Linked DNA regions of Sus scrofa. The protein of the gene in region 4 interacts with the protein of the main gene of each other region in a biochemical or structural test. Links are inferred from orthologs where the notes say so. Each region holds a gene or a part of one and is shown on either strand. Other genes may lie near its edges.

Region 1 (3,984 bases), on a different chromosome or scaffold from region 4:
CGCAAGTCATCCCTTCATCCTCCTAGGGTGAGGTCACCAAAACACCGTACCAACCTACCAAATTTCAAGTCAGGGAGAGTAACAGGACAAACTTTCAAACTCTATTTGGCACACTACTCAGTGAAGAGATTTAAAGCATCAAGTTCCCTTTTACTTTACATTGTTTTAATAAAGGTATCTCGGCGTTCCCCTCAGGGGCTCAGCGGAATCATATCTGACTAGCATCCATGAGGACACAGGTCTAATCCCTGGCCTCCTTCAGTTCATTAAGGACCCGCTCCGTTCCCTCCTTCCTGTGGCTATGGTGAATGGACCCCTAGCCTAGGAACCTCCATATGCCAAGGGTGGGGCCCTAAAAAAAAAAAAAGAAAGAACAGTAAAAAGAAAAAAAGAAAGGTATCTCCAGCTAACCCACCATTTGGATTCCTTACTGTCTTTCTGGTTTGCCACCTTAAAGTTTAATGACTCTACAACCGACAGCAGGATTTATAAACTATAGGGGTTCCCAGGAATCTACTATAGATACTTTAAGGGTCATGGGAATCAGAGGACACTACTGAAGGATAATGGAGGTTAAAAAGTAGCTTCTTCCAGAGACATAAGAGGAAGAGAGCAAAGAAAAAGAACCACTGCTTGAATTCAACTTAAAAATCAACAATGAAATACCATGAAAAAAATTTGAGTTTCCCTGAAATTTGGTAAATTGAGGTTCTCAAAGAGAACAACAAGAATCCCCAAAATAGCCTAGAATAGCCATTTTACATCACCTATTGATTCATTCACTTGCCTCAACTCTCTAAATCTAAAAAATCTCTTTAAATTCCATCCGAAAACATCTATCTCTACCCATTAGAGTTTTTACTCTGCCAAAATGAGTTATTTATTCCTCATGCAATCTGTGGAGAAAGCTCTATTCAAAACAGTTCATAAGTGCAACAGGTGAGAAGTAAGACGGTAATAGAATTCATTGTGATAGAACTGTCTGGGTAGGTATTAGTAAGAAGTGGGATGACAGCCTTGAGAAGGGTCACAGATTAGTGATTAACAGGACAAGTAATGTGAAATCAGATTCGGTGGTCACTAATAATAGTAATGAAAATTCTTACAAACTTCAGCAAGATATGGGAGAGGCAAGCCACAACAGCTGCATGTGGACAGTGATTAAAAGAAAAAACAGAAGAAGGCACCGAGAAAAACAATTAGGGCCTCCAAGGCCCCTTTTCTCCTCTTTAAGAACATATAAACCATGAGGAGCGGTTAAGCTACCCTCATGGAGGCAGACCAAATGCAGCAAGAGGCAGTTTGGGAAATAGGAAGCCTGCTGGGGGTGGGGGTGGGGAGGGGGTACCGTACCTCTTGGCGCTGGTGGAGAGGAGTTTGGAGTTTTTGCTCATGCTGACTTTACTCTCCTTCTTCTTGGGGGTGTTTGTTTCTTTCTCGGTTTGCTGGTTGGAGGACGAAGATGAGGAGGAGCTGGTGCTGGCCCTCGAATCGTCATCCGACATAGCGAACCCCCCACCCCACCCCGCAAACAGCCCCTGCAGGGGGAGGGAAACAAAACAGAAACACAAACCATGCAGCCAGTGTAAATAAGGAACTCGGGCGCTGTCAGGAGGGCTTCGGCCGGGGGTGCACCCAGCCGCCCACCGCCCTCCACTCGCTTTTCAAAGTCTTCGGGCCCATCATGGCTTTTGCAAATTGGACGCGGCTTGTTTGTTTATTCGGGGCCCCATGTGGGGGACGTGGTGGGAAAACGGTTGGGAGGGCAGAGAGCAGCCCCTCCCTCGCCCCCCGGGGCTCCCCTCCGGGCGGGGAGAGGAGCAGCCGGCGGGCGGGGGTGCGGGGCGCCCGGCCGGGGCGGGCAGGGAAGGTCCCGGCGGCCAGCCGGCCTCGGGCTGTTTTCGGCGGCTTTCCGGGGGTCGTAGGGGAGCTGGGGGCCAGCCGCCGAGTTTGGCGAGGTCAGGAGGAGAGGAGGGCGGAGAGGAGTAAGAGAGGAAGCCGAAACGGGGGGACGGAGGCGGGCAGCGGGGGCCCGCGTGGGGGAAGGGAGAGGCCGGAGGGGGGTAGGAGCGACGAGGCCCGAGGCCCCCGCCGCGCCCCGACGCCCCTTGCCAGCCAGCCCCCGGACCGTGCGGGTCGGGTCTGCGCGGCCCGGGCGGGGGTCCCAGGCACACGCCCGATCGGCACCCCGGGTGGGGGCGGGGGTGAGGGGGGGACTCGGCCTCCTCTGCTGAGGAATAACAATGAGCCCGTGCGCCCCGGAGGGGTTAATCCCCACGGGCCCCCGCCCCAGGGGAAAACGGGGCTCCCCGCCTCCCCTCCCCCGTTCCCGGCCCCTCGGCGGCCAGCGGGGGGCTCCCGGGGCAGCGCTGACAGTTCGAGCCCTGTGCCCCCCGCCCCCGACGCGGGCGGCCCCGCACCCCACGCGGCCCGGGGCCCTGCCCATCCCCCGCGGGCGGGCCCGGACCCCCGGAGCTCCCTAGCCCCTCTCCGCGCCCCCGGCCCCGTGCCCGGCGGCCCGGGCGGCGCGGGTCGGGGGCGGCGGCGAGGGGTGTCCCCGAAGCCCGGCGGCGCGGCCGGGGGGCGGCAGGCGGCGGGGGGGATCCCCGTACCTCTCTTTGTGTCTGGCTGCTCCGTGCCGCCGCGGCGGCTGCTGCTGCGGCTGCGGCTGGGCCTGGCCACTCGTGTCTCTCTCGCTGGGAGAGAAGCGGAAGTGCAGCAACAGCAACTATTAAACAGGCAATGGCTTCCCCCAGCCACACACGCTCGCACACACACTCCTCCTCCCCCTCCCCCACCCCGTCCGGCCGGTCCCACCCACCCGCGCTCCCCTCCCCGGGCACACCTCCGGGGGGCGCCAGGAGCACCCGGGGACCCCGGGAAGCCCGGCCCCTCCCCGCCCCACCCCCACCCCGGCGCCTCGTCGGGACGCGGGGCCAGGGGGCAAGGGCTGTGAATTTTCTCCGGAGGAGTCTGGGGGACCCCTGGATCCTGGGCTGAAGAGGGGAAGCCGTCCCGAGACTGGGGGCGCTGGGAACTGTCGGGAATAGGGCGACCGCGAGGGGAAGTTCTTACCAAAAGGGCTTTGGGAAAGCGGGGGCAGTTTGGTAAAAAAGATGGTAATCTGGTGCCAGGACTTTGGACTAGTGAATACCGAGGGAACTCCTCCTAAAAAGTGATCAGTTTAAGGGAGAAAGAAAGAAATCCCACAACAGGGTTTCCTTTGGGCTGACCCTGGCTTCCCCCTCTGGCAATTTACCTGCTAGGAGCAGAGGTCGGTTTAGGCACGCCTGTGAGAAAATCCCAAGATTGGAGTTTTCTGCTCAGGCACGTGCAATTTTACAATTTTCGATTCTTCCAGTCACTTTTTATAGAAAGAAGTGTTTTATAAAAGTGATACAGTGGATTTCGTGACAGGTAAAACCAACCAACGTCTAAGAGGCTTTCTAATGTGAGAAATCAATGGGAATAAACCCTCTACTACTGAATTAGACTGGATTTAGAATTTTTGCTGTCGGAAATTATATTAAAAGTTTTGAGGACGGCTGCAGCTTCTTCAGCGACAATATAAATGCTATTCAAATCATAAGATTTTAATAATAATCCCTCTAATTCTTCGGAACTCTTCTTTATTTATCGTGTTTACCAAGATTAATTTTTTTTAGTTAAGCCATCAAATTACAATTCAGTTTCTCACTTATTTGTCATTTCAGTTGCAGGAAACTGAAGAGATATGTGTAGTGTAACATATACTAGGTGTGGTACACTAAGCAACTGCCCAGATTTCCCTGGGCCACTCTAAATTATCCCAAACTGCCATCCTTTTCCATAGCAACAGTGTGGCTTCATTTACCACCGGACAACAGAAGACATAAAGCCAGTGGCATATCCAACTAACCAGGAAAACAAGCATTCTTACCACCCACCTAAACCTCTTCTAGTCCTCAACATGAAACTCCAACTTTTTTAAGAGTCATAAAGTAA
Region 2 (4,196 bases), on a different chromosome or scaffold from region 4:
AGCCCTCCAAGGCCCATAAGCCCACCAACAGGGCTGACACAGTGAGAAGGCCACCAAGAGGGAACTCAAGGTTCCCATTCGTGGTGGGGAGTGGAGGTGGGGCAGAGGCTCAGAGGATTCCCTACTTTTGGAGCGGGACCCAGATCTTCTGCTTCCTAGACCGTAGCTCCCAAACCCTATGGGTGCCACTAAGGCAAAGAGACCCTCAAGGACAAGGTGTGGTCTGCCTGTGGACACCACTGGGCCCCCAAGGTGAAGGCCCCAAGCAAAAAGAACACACATGGAGTTCCCATCGTGGCGCAGTGGTTAACGAATCCAACTAGGAACCATGAGGTTGCAGGTTCGATCCCTGCCCTTGCTCAGTGGGTTAACAATCCAGCATTGCCATGAGCTGTGGTGTGGGTCGCAGATGCAGCTTGGATTGCACGTTGCTGTGGCTCTGGTGTAGGCTGGCAGCTACAGCTCCGATTGGACCGCTAGCCTGGGAACCTCCATATGCCGAGGGAGCGGCCCAAGAAATAGCAAAAAGACAAAAAAAAAAAAAGAACACACACTCACCAGTGCCATCCTCCAGGCCGCGGCCCCGGCCCCGGGCCTTACTGCCTACCACTCCACTGCCTGTGTGCACCTCAGGGGTTTCAAACGTGGCTGGAGTCACATCTGGGGAAAGTCGGGGTGGGAATAAAGAAAGGGGCCCTGAGGCAACAGTTCAGTGGGAGTCCCCTCCCCGCCCCCAAGGGAGTCCTCTTACAGGGCGGTGGAGGCTCTCTAGACATCTTGCCCAGGGCAGAGCCAAACTTGATGGCGATCTGGCGCATGCGCTCCAAGTCTCCATTCTCCTCTGCCTCCAAGTACTCCTTCTGCGCCTGCAGCTTCTCCACGTCAGGGAAGAAATCCCTCTGGATGACCGTCTGGAGGCCCTGAAGGAGTGATCAGAACACAAGTCAGAGGTTCCATCTGCCTTTCAGCCCTTAAAGTGCATACTGAGGCTCCCAAGTTCTGTCCAGCCCAATGATCCCCAAAGCTTGGGGACACTTTTAAAGCTTTCTCTCTCCCTCACTAACCTATCATTCTTGTTTATTTATTTGTTTGCTTTTTAGTGCCGCACCTGAGGCACACAGAAGTTCCCAGGCTAGGGGTCGAATCGGAGCTACAGCTGCTGGCCTATGCCTCAGGCACAGCAACACAGGATCCAAGCCAAGTCTGCAACCTACACCACAACTCACAGCAACACCAGACCCTCGACCCCCTGAGCAAGACCAGGGCTCAAATCTACATCATCATGGATACTAGTGGGATTCGTTTCTGCTTCACGACAAGGGAAACTCTCTAACCCATCATTCTTGCTCTCCTTTCTTTTTTTTTTTTTTTTTTTTTTTTTTTTTTTTTTGTCTTTTTGCTATTTCTTGGGCCGCTCCCAAGGCATATGGAGGTTCCCAGGCTAGGGGTCGAATCGGAGCTGTAGCTGCCAGCCTACGCCAGAGCCACAGCAATTCAGGACCCGAGCCACGTCTGCAACCTACATCACAGCTCAAGGCAACGCCGGATCGTTAACCCACTGAGCAAGGGCAGGGATCGAACCCGCAACCTCATGATTCCTAGTCGGATTCGTTAACCACTGCGCCACGACGGGAACTCCTTCGCTCTCCTTTCTTAACTCCACCTCCACATCAGCCTGATCAATGTGCGTGTTGCCACCTTCATTCCACCAAAACCACTACTTCCTTTTTTGTTTGTTTGTTTTGTTTTTTAGGGCTGAACCCATGGGCATGTGGAGGTTCCCAGCCGGGGGTCCAATGGGAGCTGTAGCTGCTGGCCTGCACCACAGCAACACAGGATCTGAGCCTCATCTGCAACCTACACCACAGCTCACAGCAACACCAGATCCTTAAACCACTAAGCAAGGCCGGGGATAGAACCTGCATGAGGATGCTAGTCAGATTTGTTAACTTCTGAGCCAGGTCGGGAACTCCCACACCCTCTATTCTGATCTGAACCCTTTACCAGGATGACTTCAGCCAGTCACCCCACCACCAGCACTGGTTGAGATTCCCACCTCTGCAGCTCCAGACAGACTTGATCCTGAGCTATAAGTCCGTGCATCCAGGTGTTCCCTAAAGCCACCTGCCTCCGCATTGCAGAGGACTCCCCTACACTTAACTGACTTCCTCCAAACCCTGTGCCAGCTTCTCCTGCGTTGTTTTCGGCAGGATCAAGGCCTACTTCAAAGGTGGGAGGCCCACCGACGCAGCGATGCCACGATGCCACCGTTTCTAGAACCCTCAGCCTTAGCACTTGTTATTATCGCCCTCCAGGAAGTTCTGTCACCATCCTCCTAAATTCCTAATGACCGTTTAATAAAAACTTGTTTCTCTGACGCCCACCCGCAACCTCGTACAGACACACTCAACCCCCACTGCCCCCTGACAGCAGGGACACCTCGCTCTACACGCTGTTTGTTTGGCTCTCAGACCGTCCACGCTCGACAGCAGAGGCTCGGACTGCTCCACCGCCGCGAGGAGACGAGAGTGTCGCGGGACAGGGGGAACGCGGGACGGGCCCAGACGTCACTGTCGTCCGCGCCGAGTCCTACCTCGATGTACTCCTCCTCGTCCAGCACCCGCTGCCTGCTTGTTGCAGGCCCGGCCTCCCCGGCTGCGCGCTTCCTCCGAGGCCGGGACGCGGCAGGAAGCATCAGGGTCCGGGCCGGCGGCCCAGGCGTCTCCATCACTATCCCAGCACCGCCCCGGCGGCGCAGAGGCGACACCGGCGGAGGTGGGGCGCGCCAGCTGCGCAGGCGCCTGAAACTGCTGACCAATCGGAGAGCCGCGTGTTTCCGAAGACCGGCCGGCGCTCCTTACTGACGTCACCGGGACCCTTTGGGTTCGTATTCCTCGCCCCGCCCCGCTCTGTTCATGCCTTGTGGGTCGTGGGTGCCAGGGGGCGCTGCGGTGGTGAGACTAAAGGGCGTGTCGTTTCCGCTAATTGTGAAAAATTCCAGCGCCGAATATTTGGAAGCCTTGGAATTCCAATTTCTCGCAAATAAGCACTACATATACTTCTATTTTTTTAACAAAGACACACTCTTCAGAAAACTTCGTTATATACGCGTTTCAAAGTTTTTATTCAATCTTTATGCGAGAAATGTCTAGTCCCTAAATGCTACAGTTGGCTTCCAAGAAGACAGCTAATTCTTATCGAAGTGGACCAGAAAATTGCCTGAGCATTTTCCCGAACCATCATTTCTTCCAAAAGGAGGTTGTGAATTACACCAAACAAGTTCTGCCCCAGAATGATTCAGTATAGGCAGTTATTCTGTCATGGAGTAGTGTCTCCATGGTATTGGTTCCTGCCCTCATAAAGCTGGAGTCAAATGCAGACGACAGACACTAGTCAGATCATCCCACAAACAGGCATAAAATGGCACGGTCAAGTGCAAGAGAGCAGAATCCTACCTGGGGGGCAGTCAGGGGAAGTTTCCAGGGAAGGGAGTGGTTGCAGGCATTGACCAGGTGGAGGGGGAGAGCTTGTTTGAAGGCCAGAGGGAGAAGACCTTTGCATACACAGAGTGCAAGGAACAGTGGGGTAGGAGCTGATGCCAGAGGGGCAGGGCCAGGCTGCAGGTAAGTCAAGAGTCATGGGTCAAGGCAACCTTGTTTTGTCTTTGTTCTGGGAGCAGTGGAAGCCCTTGGAGTGCTGTAGGCAGGAGGGGGACAGGTTCGGACTTGTACCCTGGCTTTTACGGAGAATGAATCACAGAGGAATCAGAGTGATGCAGGCAGACAAGCTGGAGGAGGCTGCAGTGGTCAAGGTGAGAGATGACAGTGGTTTTCACCAGGTTGGAGCCTGGAAAGAAGATGGATTCTGGGATTGTTTTTGGAGAAAATCAACCTGGAACCTGGAAAGAAGATGGATTCTGGGATTGTTTTTGGAGAAAATCAACCTGCTGTTGGCCTGGGTTTGGTGGGTGAGGGAGAGGAGGGGTCAAGGTGCTTGCCAACTCTCTGTTTTATGCACCTGGGATGCACAGAGGAAGAGGCTGCTATGGACAAGGGGACTTAGAGGTGCTGTGGGCTTCCAGGTGGAGTCAAGGGACAGCTAGACATAACTCTTTAGCACAGGAGAGAGGCCTGGGCTGGGATGTAAACGTGAGACAGAGATAGGAACCGAGCCTGAGAGTGGAGGTGATAAACTGA
Region 3 (3,500 bases), on a different chromosome or scaffold from region 4:
ACCCACACCCTAGAGGTTATGCTTCTCTGAAGAACCCTGACTAATACAGATGGATTATAAAACACTGAGTGAAAATAATTTTTCTTTTAGAATACTGGAGGATCCTTTGTCTTCTAATCCTCTAGTGTTGCTGCTGAGTGCTAGGCCACCTAATTCTGGGGCTTCCATATGTAATTGTAAACTGTTTATCTATTTATTTATAATTTGGAAGATTTAAGAATGTTCTCCTTTCCTGGGTACTGAACTATGTGTTGCTATTTTCTTGTGAGTCTTTTTTCATTTTCTTTGAATATTTTAATTTGAGATTTTGAGATTTTAGTTGTAGAAACTTCTTAATTCTCTTTCTTTGATACTTTCTTCCCCTCTCATTTCTTAATTTCCCTTTTTGCAAAAATTCCCATAACTTAGATTTTGAACCATTTGGACTGGATCTTTTATTTTCTTACCTTTTCTCTCCTGTTTCTTTTCATTCTATTCTCTAGGACATCTCTCATCATTATCTTCCAACCGTTCTATTTCATTTTTTATTCCTGCCAATGTATTTTAATTTCCAAGATTTTTTCCTAGTCTCTGAATGACCTCCTCCAACTCTGCTCCATCCCCCCCCCCCTTTTTTTTTAAATAACTCCTATTCTTGGAGTTCCTGTTGTGGCTCAGTGGTAACAAATCCGACTAGTATCCATGAGAATGTGGGTTCGATCCCTGGCCTCGCTCGGTGGGTTAAGGATCTGGCGTTGCTGTGAGCTGTGGTGTAGGTCGCAGACATAGCTCAGATCTGGCATTGCTGTGGCTGTGGTGTAGGCTGGCAGCTACAGCTCTGATTTGATTCCTAGCTTGGGAACTTCCATATGCCATGGGTGCGTCCTTAAAAAGACACACAAAAATAAAATGAATAAAATAAAATAAAATAACCCCTATTCTTCTTTTAAGGAAATGGTATTTCTAAACTCTTAAAGTTTCTTTCTAAAAAACTTTGTTCCCCTCCTTATTATCCTTTCATTCAGAGAATGAAAAAAGAATCACAAGAAAACAGCAACACATACTTTTTGTTTAAGTTTCCTTTCTATTAGTAGATTTCCCTGCTGTCTGATATAGGTGGGCTTATGATTACTAGGCTTCCATTTAAGGTGGTCAGGTGCTTTTATCATGGCATTTCAAATATTACTATCTGAACATATTTTCTTTCTGGCTGTTTAGTTTCTCAAAAGACAATCTTTCAATCTCTTGCTTGGGAGTATAAGTATGGCTATTTTGGGACCTAAACAAGGGAAGAAAGGATGTGTGTGTGTGTGTGTGTGTGTGTGTGTGTAACCTCATAATTCAGGACTCCTCACCCCCAGACTGGCTGTGCCAGCCTTTCATCTTTTGTTGCAGTCAGGGGAGGTGGCCGCCTGAGTTCTGGAGGGTTTGCTGTTCATCAACTTTCCAGCTATCTTCCCTTCTTCAGTCCCACCCTCCATCTCCACCTCTGATACCTCGGGAGCCTCAGGTCCTCAGCTTCTCTGGGTTTTGTTGAGTGACTGGATTGATTTTGATGACTTTCCTCACTGCAGACTTAGAATTCAGCATTTCTTGGTCAGCTGGGTCTATTTCTAGTTAGCTAACTACTCTTGTCCAATTGTGCTGACATCTCTTGCTTGGTTTCTCTTCTGGCCCTTTTATTCCTTCACTGTCATTTTAATGGGTCTCTGAGAAGAAGTTCAAGCTGGGGCTCAGGACTTTATTCTGAAAGCACTCTTTGAACTTCATCAGTCTGACTTTTTTTGAAATAATACAAGTATACTTAAGGTTCTAGAGTGCCTTAAACCAGTCACAAATGCATCAACAATATCTGACAGAAAAAAACAAAACAAAACAAATGAAACTTAACCAAATAATCTGGATTGAGTGAACAGTTCCATGTCTTGAGACTTACCAACTTTGTAATGTATACAGCCTTCCAAGTCCCCAACCGTGATCCAGCCTTGTTTCTTTTCGACTTCTGGGTCATTGTGGAGTATTCTGTTTCTTAACCATGAAAGATAGTAAACACGTAGCTTATTCTTCTTTCCTGTTGAAATAACAGAGCTTTAATTTTCAAGGCCCTGAGACAGCTCTTTCCCTCAGTCCTTCCCCAGCTCCATTATATTTTATTAACTTACTTTTATTAACAATTATGTGTGTGTACATTTGAAGGCACAAAGAACCAGTATCCCCAGCATCAAAGTAATGTCTCTGCCAGGACTGACGATTAAAACAGTCCAAGTGTTTTGGACCAGTCACTATTTTATAAAGTGTCTTTACCTTCAGCTGCTCTTACTCTCTCCTCCCAATGCAAAGGGCAGTGTCTGCTGAACTCAGCAAGACCCAATACTCTAACGGGATGGTCGATTAGCATTCCAATACAGTCTAGTTAGATCTACAAGGAAGGTGTGGACAACTGGATATTTCAGCATACTTGTCATGTCTGCCTTTCCCTCACCTTCTGACCAACAGCATATGTTAATGGAGAGCCTCTGTTACCCAACAAAAAGAAAAAGGAATTTTGTAAGGAGACAAGAGAAACAAATTCAGTGAAGGCAATCTGAGTGCAGAAAATATCCTTGGACACGTTTATCGTGCTGAGATTACTGAAAGGCATATTTAAAAAAATAAGAAAGGAGAAAAAGTTGTATACTTGGTTGGAGTTGCCATTTTGGCTCAGTGGGTTAAGAACCCAACATAGTATCCATGAGGATGCGAGTCTGATCCCTGGCCTTGCTTAGTGGGTTAAGGATCCGGCATTGCTGAAAGCTGCAGGGTGGGTCACAGATGCAGCTCGGATCTCAGGGGGCTGTGGCTGTGGCGTAGGCCGGCAGCTGCAGCTCCATTTCGACCCTTAGCCTGGGAACCTCCATGTGTCAGAGGTGTGGCTATTAAAAAGAAAGATGTGTACTTGGGGGGAAAAAATGTAAAAATTCCTTTGGTAAAAGATTGCAAAGTGATCCTGGAGTAAAGAATTCTTAGTATGAGGAGTTCTCATCATGGCACAGTGGAAACGAATCCAACTAGGAACCATGAGGTTGCAGGTTCGATCCCTGGCCTCAGTGGGTTAAAGATCTGGCATTGCTGTGAGCTGTGGTGTAGGTCGCAGATGTGGCTCGGATCCTGCATTGCTATGGCTGTGGCGTAGGCCGGAGGCTGCAGCTCTGCTTGGACCCCTAGCCTGGGAACCTCCATATGCCACAGGTGAGGCCTTAAAAAGAAAAAGCAAAAACAAAAACAAAAACAAAAAAAAAAGGAAGAAAAGAATTCTTAGTATGATATGAAAACATCTTAAAAACATTAAGGAGTAAGTAAGGAGAAAAACTTAATATACGATCTAAGATTGTACAAATACCAGATAAGAACATGTCCCTTGGGGTGGCTTTTACCACGTGATCAGTAATTCAGGCCTGTGGGGTATACTTCTTGGGTCCTTATTTTCCTTTGATTTCTCTTAGGCATCAAAACATGTTTTATAAGTTGCAGATGTAATATAC
Region 4 (3,500 bases):
CCACTGTTCAACTGTAAATGACTGTGGTCCATTTGAGCCTATAAAGAAGAAGAAGAGTTGCTTTGGTTTCATTTACTCTTAGCAGAAACTCCTGGGCATTTCACAACTCACTTTTGCTCGTATAGAACTTAAACACACAGAGACCTCGTCTAGCTTCTTTAAACTCAAAACAAGTAATGCTGTCCTGGGCCTGACAACTTTAGTGTCCAGCCACGAAAACTCCTTTTCCATCAGTTTTTTTGTGACCACCGCATCACTCTGCCCCTGGGGGCGTGTCTGATGGAGGTTTTGCTGTTTTCTAGCCTTGCATTTCCATATACCACCTCTGTCACAGGTACACAGATAATGAGCATTTTCTTTCTTTTTTGAGTCCCACTGAATATAGCTTTAATTTTTTCTGATTATATGATTTCACTGCAAAAAAATTAAAGCAACAGAGAAAAATAATGAAAGATGTAAAAAAATCACCTGAAATTCCACTATTAAATCTGAGTAAATAGTCTGTTATTAATTTTTTTGTGCACGTGCAGAGATACAGAATTTTAATTGCATAATCACGTTATACATGCTACATTTTTCTCCTATTATGGATGTTCTTTTTTTTTTTTTTTTTTCACTTTCTTTTTGGGCTCCCCCGAGGCATATGAAGTTCCAGGGCCAGGGAATCAGATCCAAGCTGCAGGTGCGACCAGCTCCACAGCTGCGGTAACACTGGATCCTTTAACCCACTGTGCTGGAAGGGGGATTGAACCTGCGTCCTGGTGCTAGAGATGCCGCTAATCCCGTTACACCACAGCAGGAACTCCTCATTATGGACATGCTTAGAAACTTTTTTTTTTTCTTTGGAGTTTTCACTAAGCTCTTCCATCTCCAGTTTTCAACATCCTCTAACCATCCAGGTCATCAATGCTGACCACCTCCTGAGGCCCCTTCTGTACTTGTCTCCATGTCTTAGAATCATATCCAAGTATGTGTGTGTGTGTATAACTGTCAGAAGCAGCACTAAAAATACTTAATGTTTTCCATGTTACTGTTTTCTCTAAAAGCACCGCTCTTCACACATCACCCATCATAATTATGTTCACAGTTAAAATGTCAGTACTTTTATCACTGTGTTTTCAATAACATGGAATTGTATATATTTCCTTGCCTCTCATTTCTCTCACCTAAACCATCCACTTGGAACACTCCCTGTAGGTCAACCAATACAAACCCAAGATACTTTGTGTTGGCTAGAAAATACTGTAATGTAATGCTAACATTCTGAAGCAACTTCTTTTTTTGTAAATACATAATCATGTGAATTTATATTCTAACACTAATAACTCTGGATCTATGTGTGGGCTATGTACTCTAATTTGCAAAAAATTCAGGAAATCAGCTGATAGTGGTGGGCCTGGGCTGCATAAAAGAGGGCAGTGGAGTTAGAGGTGAAAGGGGTGTTGATCCTGCCTTCATTTTCTCTACTAACTGGCTAGAGCATAGAAGAGAAAGCATGGGGAGTCAGCTGAAACCACTGCAAAGACAAATCCTACCAGGCAGGGAAAAGGTGCACTGGTGAGGAGCAAAGCTCCTGTCTCATCCTTTTCACCAGGAGTGGTTACTCTAGGTGAAGTGGCAGCTGCTTGACAGATTCTGCAAACAAATATAAATGAAGCTTAACAGAAAAACCAGATTTGCCAAGGAGGAGACAGTGCGGCTCCGATCTTGGCTAAAAGTTCTTGGAAAGGTTTGTTTGGTTTTTTTTGGTATCTTTAAAGCCAGGCAAATGTCCTTCCAATAAACAGAATATTAACTGGTCTGAGAAAAGTTGCTGTGATCTACATCAGAAACAGTGCTTTTTTTGTTTTTAACAAAACAAGGCCTTAATGAGATTCTCCACCCTCCAACTACTACCACCACCCTCAAACACAGATTCCACGATCAATTAACTTCTGGAAACTTTCACAGTAAGTATTCTGAGCAAGAACAAACCAAAGAAACCTATTTAACTTTGTCTAGTCCATTATCTCCTCCAAATAGGGGTCGAATTGGAGCTGCAGCTGTGGGATCAAACCCTCGTCCATGGATACTAGTCAGGTCCTTTAATCACTGAGCCATGATGGGAACTCCGAATGCTAGCAGTTTTTAGTTGTACACTGATTAACACCCTGTGGAACTTTACATGCTGCCTGCCCTAAACCATCACTCTACAGGCAATCTGTACTGGATGCAAAGGGGGAATCAAATTTAAAATTCAAGCATGGGGAGTTCCCGTCATGGCGCAGTGGAAATGAATCTGACTAGGAACCATGAGGTTGGGACTTCAATCCCTGGCCTCGCTCAGTGGGTTAAGGATCTGGTGTTGCTGTGAGCTGTGGTGTAGGTTGCAGACGTGGCTTGGGTCCTGCATCATTGTGGCTGTGGCACAGGCCAGCAGCTGCAACTCCAAATGGACCCCTAGCCTGGGAACCTCCATATGCTGTGGGTGCAGCCCTAAAAAGCAAAATAAATAAATAAATTAAATAAAATTCAAGCATGGAAAGAAACTCAAAGTCATTTCATGTTTCCAGTTTTCTTCTTTGCTGTCTGATTAGAAGGTGTATGTATATTTTGGCCTTCTTCAGTGTATCTAATTATATCATTTAAAGACCTTAATTTTTTTTCTATTATGCTAAGTGTCGATATAAATGATAGAGGCTATCACAGTAAAATGAAGGAGACTATTTAGCCATGAAAAAGACAACTGTCATAAGCTCCATTTGTAATAATCTATGGACCATTCTCACCATACAGTTCAGCAAATCCATTCATAGGCACGCGGGATGTACCAGTGACAAACTGAAGTAACCTTATTCGTTTTTCTGAATCCATCATTAAAACAGCCTGCATAAAATAAAGATAAAAACCCCATTTAGGAATATCATTGCAAAAAAGGGTAACAAAACTATCCTGAAAAACATGCTATCAGAATTTAGTTAGAATGTTAATGATCATTTATTAAATTTGCATGTTTCTTTAAGTTCAAGTTGTGTTTATGGGTAGTTTACAAAGTTCTTGAGACTTCATTTCCAAGGCAAATGGTCATTCTTTAGGATGGGATTAGAGCCTTAATAAAGTGATAGCACTTCCTCTCAGATGTGACTCATGGCTTTTAAAAAATTATTTATTGATATTACTGAGCAGCAAACACATTTCTCTATAAGATGGAAAATTGGATTTAAAGGAGCCTTGAGAGTCCCTTCTCCTGTCTCATGGAGAATGCAGTACAGGTTATTCCAAGTTCTCTTGAAGGGTCCCTTCTTCTTCTTCTTTTTTTTTTTTTTTTGTCTTTTCTAGTGCCACACCTGCAGCATATGGAGGTTCCCAGGCTAGGGGTCCAGTCGGAGCTGTAGCTGCCAACCTACACCAGAGCCACAGCAACTTGGGATCTGAGCTGCGTCTGTGACCTACACCATGGCTCATGGCAACGCCAGATACTTAACCCACTGAGCGAGGCCAGGGATCCAACCTGAAACCTC
Region 5 (2,224 bases), on a different chromosome or scaffold from region 4:
TTTTCCCCCCTCAATTCAATAATAAGTTCTTTTTGGCAGGTGCCACATCTTATACCACTTGTGTTACAGCATCTAGCAGTTAATACCCTCCAGTGGGTATCTGTCTGTGCCTTGGTGTCCTGTTAGAGGGCTGCTGTTGGTGAGTGAAAATCTTGATTGGGGCTGGGGAAGAAGACTGAATTCTTGGTAAGCCTAGGGACATGGTCAACATTAGTCCATCCAGGTTAAGAAACACATGCTCTGAGTAGTTTTCAGTCCTGAAATTCCTCGCTTAGTTGTGATTTTTAAAACAGTTACAAGGTTCAGAAACATTGTAAATGGAGTAAAAAACTTGACTGAAAATGGAAATTGATCAGCAATCCCATTCACATTGTTTCACACTGTAAGAAAGAAAAAAGGAAAAATAAAGGAAGGAAGAGGGAGGAGATAAAAGGAAAAAAATACCTGGGGAGTGGTGATGGGAGACACAACAGACTCAGTCTTCAAAGACATCCAGCAAGTTCATGATGTGGTAATTTTTAATATTAAAAGTAAATTGTAAATGTATCTTTATAAACAATATGCATAAAATAGATCTATTATTCTAAAACCTTTTCTTTTTCAAACGCTTTTTCACAGTAATTTTTTTTAGGTGTCAGATTTTTTTTCCCCCAAAATAATAGTGCAATTGGAAGAAGGAGAATGTTGTCGGTGAACGTGGACTTCTTTGCTAGTACAAGTCCTTGTATATTTCCTGTAGGAGTGGGTGAAGGCTCATGTCCGTCTCTGTCTTCTTTATTACTTGCAGCAGCTGCACGTGCTCTGTCACAATCTGTCTGAGGTCTGTCATTTTCTGGAGCAGCTTAGCAAAGAGCTGGGAGGACTCTGGGTGGTTCAACTTGAGCTGCAGCTCCAAGGCTTGCAGCAAATTGTCTTGAATGTCCTCGATGGGCTTCACATTCAGCAAACCTGGGCGGTCTGGGGGAGCAGAAATGGAAGACAGAACAGGAGGTTTAGGTATAAAATTCTCTGGCCAATGACTTTTTGTTGGTTTTGTTTTGGTTCTAAAATAGGATGGGGGCAGGGGAGGTAAGCAGAGAGTTGGCAAGAACTGCATATAAGAAAAAAGGAATAAAACCCAAGACTATCAGAGCTTTTTCCAAGACCATTCTTTTCCCGTAGGACTAAATCTGTGTGACCAGATGACAGAACGTGGTGGCATGGCAATCACTTCCCAGATTGCAGATTCTTCTGCTGGCATTATTTCTACTCACTCAGAAATCTCATTTTTAACTTCTGCTCCTTCCTGATGAGTCTATGTTTTATAATCTTATTTTCTTACCACAACTTTCAACACACTTTCATTTTTTTTATAATGATTTTAATTTTTTCAATTCTAGCTGGTTTACAGTGTTGTGTCAATTTTCTACTGTACAGCAAGGTGACCTAGTCACACATACACATATACATTCTTTTTTCTCACATTATCATGCTCCATCGTAAGTGACTAGATAGAGTTCCCAGTGCTAAACAGCAGGATCAACACACTTTTAAAATAAACTTTGTCTTCTTTTTGCTTAACATAGCATATGCATTTTTCAAAGAGATGAGACATAGTTTTCAAATTCTGTTATACTTTTGGAAGGATAGACCAAGTTTTAACAGAGGCTTCTCTTTCGACAGGTGAGGATGCAGGTAGATTTCACTTTCTTCTTTATACTTTCCTTATTTGAACTTTTAAATGGTGAGCTTAGATTACTTTTAAATTTTTAATGTTTTTTCTTCATGGAGGTCTTTTTAGATTTCTTCTTAAATACTTTCCAGTATTCTTTATTTTTACTTGTTTCCTTTCTAGTATTCTATACTTCTTTTTCATTACATTTTCTAATGTATCCCTGCTGATGTTTAGAAAAAAGTTAGGTTTTATTATACTGAATCTATTCCAATTTCCTAAACTCTTCTCAAATCAAACAGTTTGTATCATGGGTTAAAAAAATTATTTTTTGGATAGACAATTATATCTGCAAATAATCATATTTTTATTATTTGTTTTGTTCATAAGTTTTATTTATTTCTTTTTTTCTAGTGTTTATAGTTCTCATTTCTTTTTTTTGCCATACTGCATTGGCTAATAATGCTAATACGGTAAATAGTAGCAGTACTGGGAAGCATTCTTATTTTATTCCTAAGCTTGAAGGAAATGCTTCTAATGGTTTACCACAAGTATGGTATTTACTAGAGTATG
Region 6 (3,500 bases), on a different chromosome or scaffold from region 4:
CGGCCACAAGCCCGCTAGGACTCATTCCCCACCTCCTTCCTTCCTGCTCTCCCGTCCACCCACTCTGTGCACAGACAGGCTCCATTCCCTTGAGAGACAGCATCAAGCTGGGCGACTTCCTGCTGGAATTCCTTCCCAGCCCTGTCCTCTTATTTTCATAATCACAAAGGCTCTCCGTTACCACTGGCCCAAGTCCTAAACACAACAAGGTCATGGGGAGTTCATCTCTGGCCTTCACCCCTCCTCACAGCCCCCCTCCTCTCTATCCTGGTCCTATTCAAGGTGACCTCCCCCACCCCCAGACCCTGTTGTCACATGAGTGTAGCACCTGCAACACGCCAAGGCATGAATGGTGCCCAGCACACCGCAGGGTGGTTTTGTGACCAAATACATCTGGGGAACAATCAAGGGTTAGCAAGGGTCACCTGCAAGCTGAATCTGGCCTACAGACACGGTTTGCCTGGCTAGACTGTTTTTAAATATCCTGACTAGGAGCATCATGAGATGGGGCATCGGGTCTCCTATCTACTGCAGACCTTATCATCTCCTACCAGGCCGTGTGGCTTATTGACTTCACCTGCCTGGATCCTGAGGGCAGCGAAGGTTTTTCATCTCTGCAACTATATGAGGTCTCCCCTTGGGGATGCTCACGGTGCACATGAGCATGTTAAAGACCCTGAGAAGCCCAGCAACACAGCACCCTCTTTTACTTTAAGAAACCCTCCATCCAGAGAACCCATTCCTCTTCCCCAGCAATATCCACTAAACATTCTATGAACTCTTTTTTTTTTTTGCTTTTTAGAGCCACACCTGCAGCATAGGATAAGTTCCCAGGCTAGGGATCAAATTGGAGTTGTAGCTGCCAGCCTACACCACAGCCACAGCAACCCCAGATCTGACCTACACCAAGGCTCATGGCAATGCTGGATCCTTAACCCACTGAGCCGAGGCCAACGATGGAACCCGCATCCTCATGGATCCTAGTCGGGTTCGTTAACTGCTGAGTCACGAAGGGAACTCCTCTATGGAACTCTTATTTGGAGCAACGTCCTTTGAGAAATGCTGTCATGACGAGGTCTCCCTCGCAAAGGGGGAACAGGTGCCCAGGACATTCCCTAAGGATATAGTTCTAAGGGGGCTAGACACCGTTATTAGCTGGTCCTGGTCCCCGAGCACCTGATCAGACCTTGACCATGACATGCATCGTTCGGGACCTGCTATGGTATTTTGGCCCTCTCCTTAGTGAGATTCTAAGCTCTAGGGGTGAAGCCCTGAGTCAAAATGGACTCTGAATTCCAATGGCTTGGCGTAGACAGCGTCTGGTCAATGTTTGTGGAATAAGGCAAGAACGGAAGTGCTGCAGGGGTTGGGAGGGAGGACCTGGCACTGCACAGACTCAGCTGGCTGGCCCAGGAGCACACCCCGATACCAAGGGCAACATCCACGGTGGGAGTACCTGGGGCCACATGGCACTGGGAGACAACTGCTGGTGCTGAGGCCCCATGTTGTTGAGGTGGATGCCACTGGGGGACAGGAGCGGCCGGTGCGGGAGGGCACTGCTGACCCGGTTCAGGTCCGAGCTTGCCGGGTCTCCCATTCCTGTATCTGGAGGCCCCAGGTCCCCGTGGGAGCTCAGCATGGCCTGGGCCTGCCGGTCACTTGGATAAGTCTTGGGCTGACTGTCCTCATGCTGCTGGTGCTGGGGCAGGTGGCTCTGCTGGTACAGAGGGTGGCCGTAGGGCTGCTGAGGCTCCTGGTAGTAGTACTGGGGCATGGAGCCCAGCTGAATCAGCTGGACAGCGTGCGCCTGCTCCGGGGTGTACTGGTGGGGGTCCCTGTGGTAAGAAGGGGGCTGCAAGTGCATCTGTGGCTGCTGCGGCTCTTGCAAATGCTGCATCACGGGTTGGGACTGAAAATACTGAGGTATCTGCATCGAAGCCTGCCGCTGCTGCAGCTGCTGCTGTTGCTGCTGCTGTTGCTGCTGGGGCTGTGACGGGCGAAGCGGCTGCAGGGGCGGCTGCATTTCTTGCATCGACATACGCTGCTGCCCAGTTTGCTGCTGCTGCGGCTGGGGCTGCTGCTGCGGGTAATACTGGTGCTGCTGTATCTGCTGCATGTGCGGGGACAGCATCTGGGGGGCCTGCAGGGACTGTCCTCCTTGCACTGGCATCTGTGCCAGGGGCTGCTGGTAGTCATAATACAGGTGCCCTTGGCTTGGGTGCTGCCCAACCTGAAGAGCTGGTTTGGACAGCCCACCTGTGAAACCAGGGTGAGGCTGCTGGGGCACCTGCTGGTAGCGGGAGGGGACGGCCGGTGCTGGGGGTTCCATGGGCTTCTGGGACAGCAACTGGCGGAGGGCACTGTCCGGGGCTCCGTCCATCACTGACGACTGGGTGTGCAGCACCTGGGCCATATTGTTGACCTGAATCCGCAGGTTTTGGTTGGCAAACACCTGGGTGAAAGAGTCTAGCTTGTGCAGGACACCGCTGGTGAGCTTCTGGGTCCGGATCTCGCTGGCCTGGGAGTAGGTGTACTGGAAGCCATCGGCGGGCTCCGCCTGGGCTGGTGCCCCCCACATCATGTTTGAGTTGGTCAGGTTGCTGCGTAGCTGGACGTGGTTTCCAGGCCCTGCGGGCCCTCCCCACCCTCCCTGCCTTGAGGTATCCACTTGGCCAAGGTTTTTGGAGCCAACAGGCAAGCCTAGACCGTCCCGAGGATCTTGAGGGAAGTGGGGGGAGATGGGTGATGCCTGAGGAGCATCCATGGCAGCGCCAGGGACCGTATTCCCATAGCTGTGGTTCAGCCCGCCGTGGACGCCAAGAGGTGGCTGTTGGTAGAAAAGGTTCTCACCACCATGGGCCACGTGGTTGGTCTTGTACAGTTGCTGATCCCCCATGGTGCCTGCCTTGGTCGTGAACGTCCAGCCACAAAACCATAAAAAACAGGTCAATGACACAAACCCGAAAGGACTGAAACCCTGAGAAGCAGAGAGAGAGCGTCCACACTACTCCACGGCTGACATGTCCGTGCCCGTGGCTGGAGCCAGGTGTTCCTGTTGGCCTGTACCACACATGTGCAGAGCGGGGGGGTTTACATCCTCACCCGGGCTGAGGTAGGGACCAAACGCCACCGTGGTGAAGAGGTGCCGCTCACACCTGCAAGACAAGATGCAGAGGACAGGAAGGGATTTACCTGATACTCTGAAGTGAGCAAGTTTATCTACCACAACCCATTATAGAAATAAATACGACACAGGGGAGTTCCCGTCCTGGCACGGTGGTTAACGAATCCGACTAGGAATCATGAGGTTGCGGGTTCAATCCCTGACCTTGCTCAGTGGGTTAAGGATCCGGCGTTGCCGTGGGCTGTGGTGTAGGTCACAGACGAGGCTCGGATCCCATGTTGCTGTGGCTGTGGTGTAGGCCAGCGGCTACAGCTCCGATTCAACCCCTAGCCTGGGAACCTCCATATGCCGCGAGAGTGGCCCAAGAAATGGCAAA
Region 7 (3,893 bases), on a different chromosome or scaffold from region 4:
GGCTACACGGAGACTTGGCTGCTGGGAGATGAAGTTCTCGTGGTAATAATGGCTCCCTCCTCCCAGTCTTCTCCCTAACTTGTATTCCACTCTACTGGAACCCGCACGCCGGCACAGAGTCTGGCTAAGGGACATATACCTGAGGACAGAGTTCTTTTACCAGCTCCACACTTGGAAAAAACCCTTCCTTGATTCAAAAGGTTATGACAAACTTGGATGGGATATCCAAAGCAGGTACTTTCAAACTTTCTCCACTGGAACCCACAGTAGAAAACCAACTTTTTTTAACCTCAAGCCCCTATCTATACACGGGTACATAACACAACTTTCATGAAATGATACTCAGAGTATTCCATCCATCACAACAAAAGCACACTTTCTCTGCACAAGGAAAAGCCCAACATAAGGAGAAGAAATAAAAATACATTACTATCCCTCCAACCTCCCTTTCCCCCATTGAGTAGAGAACAAAAGGCAGAGGGCAGCAACACAAAGCAAAATCCAGTTCAGCTTGGTGGTTTCCTCTTTATTGATGTGTATCCTACCTTCCCCGCCACAATTCAGTCCCTTCCATCTACCCCCCAAAAAGAAGGTAGTGAAAATAAGGGATTGTTGGGATCCTGAGCCCCCTGGGCAGTTAGAAAGGAAACAGAAACCAAAACGACCACTGGATGTGACAGAGATGGACAATCAAGAAGTCTAAAGCTGAGTGGGAAGGTGGTAGAGAAAGGGAAGGAAAGGAGTACTGGAGGCCATCTCCCCCATTAACCCTTGTTTTAAGAAGGGCTGGAGGAGAGTCTCAAACATTAGGAAGTGTAGGTCCTGAAGAAAGGAGGTGGTGTTTGAGCCTCAAGGAAGGACAGGTCGAGGAAGGTGGGCCACCTCTCTCTGTCTGAAGAATGGGACCCCCGACCTTAAGGGCAGCAGCTTCACAGACCATAGACACTTTCATCACTGTAGGCAATGTACAGAAAGAAGTCTTCTTCATGGTGTTCCTGGGGTGAAAGCAGAAAATGACAGTGCTCAGGCACCTGGGCTTTAATTACTTGAACCAACCACCACCCAGGCACATTCTTCCAAAAACATTCTTTTTGAAGACCCCCAAAACCAGTGCTTTGACTCTCCCTCTCACTTGCTCCAGACCCTAGCGGCTGAGCAGTATTATCCTAGCAGCAGTCCTAGGCATAAAAATCACACATTGTTCTCTGCTGCCTCGAAATGGGGAGGGGCCTGGGGAAAGTCCAGATCACAACAGTTGCTCCAACTCACTGTTCTCTTTTCTCTCTACTCCCACTGCCCTGTCTAAATCCCCAACCCAGAACTATAAGGAGATTTTAAAGCCAAATTTAAAACTGAGAGCTAAGTAAGCCAACTAGTCCAAGACCTGCTGACTTAAAACTTCCTGCCTCTCAAGTGCTTCCAACTCCTCTCCAAAGCCTCCACTACTTCCCAGACACTATACCTGGTACAGCTGACCCATCGTGGCACTGGTGGGTGGAATGACATTGTTGACAAAGAAAAACAAGGCATCCTCAGCTCGGAGATGAATTCGCTTCCGGATCAAGAAGTAGAACTGACCAACTGCCAAAGAAACAAGGTCTGAGAAAGTCTGAGGTCACAAACGCCTTCAAAAGAACAGCTGCTATGTGGAGCCTCCTCCAGCAGAGACCACATTCCCACCCCCCAGGAAGCAAACCTGGCTACTGGGTCAGGTTCTCACCTGTGAGATCAGAAGGCACCAGGTATTTCTTTTTATCTAGGTCTCCTATCCGAGCTTTGGGAGCCTTTTCTACTATCACCTGATAAAGAGACGAAAATTAGGAGACATTAGGTATACAGGCCCACAGCTCCACCTGTCAAGAACTCAACATTCCTAGCATCCCTACCTACCCCAGACTCATTTCTCTTTGTCTCTGAACACGCGGCGCAGTCCTGAGCAGGGATTCTGATCCCACTGACTCAAACTCACCTAAACCTCCAGAATCCCTGAATAGGACGTCATAACAAACAATGATTTTAATCAAACAGGCATGTCTTGTCTGGGCCGACTAGAGCTTCAATCTCAAGCACCCCCTGTGAAGCTCGGAATGTCAAACGCCCTACACGAATCCAAGGTCTAGCTCTCGCGCCTACATCCCCTTAAGCCTACATCCCCTAGCCCCCCAGTTCTAATGCTACCCCACTCCTTTCACCTCCAGTCCCACAGACAGCAGTTTCGGGCTCATTCCCAACCCTGCCACAGCTGGCAGCCTGATGCCCGCGCTGCGGGTCTCGGACTCAAGCCCAGGCTGTGGCGTCAGCGCCAGCGCCCCGCGCCCTCGGCCCTGGCTACTGTCCTCACCGGCACCCGGTCCGGGTATTTCTTTCGGATCTTCTCGCCCTCAGAGCGACGCTTCTCGAACGGATGCTCTTCTTTATACACGAACTTCATCCTCCCGGGAACCGGGTTGGACCGGGCTGGGCTGAGGGAACCCGGGGGGGCCGGGATGGGGGGCGGCGGCGACGGCGGCGACGCGCGGGCGGATTCAGCGGAGCGATCCCGGACCTTGCGCCACTTCCCTATTCACCAACCCCGCCCCCGGCCGTCAGAGGCCGCCCCACTCGCTATGTTACGCTCCTAGCTCAGTGGCCCCAACGCCACTAGCGTAGCGCCACCTACTGACCTCCCCCCTCACGCAATCAGCGTAATCGCTTTGGAATCAATTTACGGGCTACGCAGGCGACGTAGGAAAGGTGGCTGGCTTTTTGCTATCATAGAAAATAACTGAAAACCCATTTCCTGACTTTTTCCACAGGATGAAAAGGGCTTGGAGATGGTAATCATAATTTGAGACTTGGTTCTCCGAAAGTGCTTTTCAGAAGTAACAGAGGTAAAAAAGCAGATAATTACAAGGACAGCTATTCAGGAAAGGTGCTGGTACGCTGAAGGCGGCGGTTGACACCAAAACAAAGTAGTACCCCAATGGAGCAAGCGGTCTTTGGAAACAGAGGAGGGCAGAAACGAGACCTATGTTTGGAAAGACGCTTATGTTTCCAGAATGCTTAGGTTCCAGGAATGAGTGGACGAATAGGGACTGGAGAGGTCTGAAAGGTAGGGACTACGTCAGCGCGGAGGAACACAGTCTTCGCGGCTCACGGAGAGATCATGTGATCGCAGAGAAGGGCGGGGCGTCACGTGGCGAGTGCGAGGAAGTAGAGCCGGCTGCGGCTGGGGGAGCAGGGCCAAGGGGAGGGAGGTGGGGCGCCAGGGGCCTGGGACACCCCCCCCTCCGCCCCCGGGGGGCTGCGCCCGCTCAGCTAGTCTAAGTCAGGCCCGCAGACGAAGCCAGGCCTCTCCCAGCGTCCAGTTCTCTTTTCCTTTCAAACTTTTCTGTGTTACTGTTCGGAAGCTCACATTCCCTCTGGACACAGGGCTGTTCTTTCGCTCCCGGCCAGGGTATCATCCTGCCACTAAGACCCTCCCCGCCAGGGTGGCCAACACCCTCCCCTCAGGTCAACAGCTTGCTCCTTACCCTCTGCCCAGAGCCAGGGTGGGTGTGAACAAAGCCCCTTCATTTCCCCCAAACCCAGAGAAGGACCTAGGGCAGCTTTGGTTTCAAAGTTATAATGCATGGTTTAAGTAGACGAAAGAAAAAAAGAGAAAGCTCGTTACAGGTCTGAGGGACTCTAGGAAGAAGGGAAGATGGAAAAGGAAGGGAAGGGACAAGTTTGGGGAAAATCCAGTGGCCCAAAATCCCAGTTTCCCACCCACAGCCCAGCCCTTGGAGTGAAGAATTAGATCAGTTTTGTACAAGAGTTTTTAAAAAATCAAATCACAACAAAGCTGGCTTGGCTTCTCTTTGAGCCTCCCGGATTACCGAGTGTCTTTCGCTCACTCTGGCCAGTCCTGTCTC

The links.
Region 1: the proteins of NEDD4 (region 4) and ubiquitin-conjugating enzyme E2 E1 form a complex in vitro, tested with the Homo sapiens proteins (7 studies listed by BioGRID, with this or other methods). The link is inferred for Sus scrofa from reciprocal best matches to the Homo sapiens genes NEDD4 and UBE2E1.
Region 2: the proteins of NEDD4 (region 4) and DGCR14 interact in a test that uses a peptide from one of them, tested with the Homo sapiens proteins (2 studies listed by BioGRID and IntAct, with this or other methods). The link is inferred for Sus scrofa from reciprocal best matches to the Homo sapiens genes NEDD4 and ESS2.
Region 3: the proteins of NEDD4 (region 4) and TNIK form a complex in vitro, tested with the Homo sapiens proteins (2 studies listed by BioGRID). The link is inferred for Sus scrofa from reciprocal best matches to the Homo sapiens genes NEDD4 and TNIK.
Region 5: of the proteins of NEDD4 (region 4) and PPARG, one has a biochemical effect on the other in vitro, tested with the Homo sapiens proteins (2 studies listed by BioGRID). The link is inferred for Sus scrofa from reciprocal best matches to the Homo sapiens genes NEDD4 and PPARG.
Region 6: the proteins of NEDD4 (region 4) and TRERF1 interact in a test that uses a peptide from one of them, tested with the Homo sapiens proteins (2 studies listed by BioGRID and IntAct, with this or other methods). The link is inferred for Sus scrofa from reciprocal best matches to the Homo sapiens genes NEDD4 and TRERF1.
Region 7: the proteins of NEDD4 (region 4) and GABARAP form a complex in vitro, tested with the Homo sapiens proteins (2 studies listed by BioGRID and IntAct). The link is inferred for Sus scrofa from reciprocal best matches to the Homo sapiens genes NEDD4 and GABARAP.

The regions. Positions count from the first base shown.
Region 1 is NC_010455.5:10,604,653-10,608,636, reverse strand, and holds the start of ubiquitin-conjugating enzyme E2 E1, read right to left. Parts: upstream 2,801-3,984; 5' UTR 2,613-2,800; intron 1,539-2,612; 5' UTR 1,506-1,538; coding exon 1,354-1,505; intron 1-1,353. UniProt on the Homo sapiens protein: Accepts ubiquitin from the E1 complex and catalyzes its covalent attachment to other proteins. Catalyzes the covalent attachment of ISG15 to other proteins. Mediates the selective degradation of short-lived and abnormal proteins.
Region 2 is NC_010456.5:50,953,219-50,957,414, forward strand, and holds the start of DGCR14 (protein DGCR14), read right to left. Parts: upstream 2,801-4,196; 5' UTR 2,729-2,800; coding exon 2,594-2,728; intron 921-2,593; coding exon 752-920; intron 661-751; coding exon 559-660; intron 1-558. UniProt on the Homo sapiens protein: May be involved in pre-mRNA splicing.
Region 3 is NC_010455.5:109,657,346-109,660,845, forward strand, and holds part of TNIK (TRAF2 and NCK-interacting protein kinase), read right to left. Parts: intron 2,051-3,500; coding exon 1,916-2,050; intron 1-1,915. UniProt on the Homo sapiens protein: Serine/threonine kinase that acts as an essential activator of the Wnt signaling pathway. Recruited to promoters of Wnt target genes and required to activate their expression. May act by phosphorylating TCF4/TCF7L2.
Region 4 is NC_010443.5:116,063,207-116,066,706, reverse strand, and holds part of NEDD4 (E3 ubiquitin-protein ligase NEDD4), read right to left. Parts: intron 2,866-3,500; coding exon 2,769-2,865; intron 39-2,768; coding exon 1-38. UniProt on the Homo sapiens protein: E3 ubiquitin-protein ligase which accepts ubiquitin from an E2 ubiquitin-conjugating enzyme in the form of a thioester and then directly transfers the ubiquitin to targeted substrates. Specifically ubiquitinates 'Lys-63' in target proteins.
Region 5 is NC_010455.5:68,432,224-68,434,447, reverse strand, and holds the end of PPARG (peroxisome proliferator-activated receptor gamma), read right to left. Parts: intron 958-2,224; coding exon 710-957; 3' UTR 501-709; downstream 1-500. UniProt on the Homo sapiens protein: Nuclear receptor that binds peroxisome proliferators such as hypolipidemic drugs and fatty acids.
Region 6 is NC_010449.5:37,377,300-37,380,799, forward strand, and holds part of TRERF1 (transcriptional-regulating factor 1), read right to left. Parts: intron 3,156-3,500; 5' UTR 2,897-3,155; coding exon 1,457-2,896; intron 1-1,456.
Region 7 is NC_010454.4:52,595,630-52,599,522, forward strand, and holds GABARAP (gamma-aminobutyric acid receptor-associated protein), read right to left. Parts: upstream 2,538-3,893; 5' UTR 2,432-2,537; coding exon 2,342-2,431; intron 1,800-2,341; coding exon 1,721-1,799; intron 1,582-1,720; coding exon 1,463-1,581; intron 996-1,462; coding exon 930-995; 3' UTR 501-929; downstream 1-500. UniProt on the Homo sapiens protein: Ubiquitin-like modifier that plays a role in intracellular transport of GABA(A) receptors and its interaction with the cytoskeleton.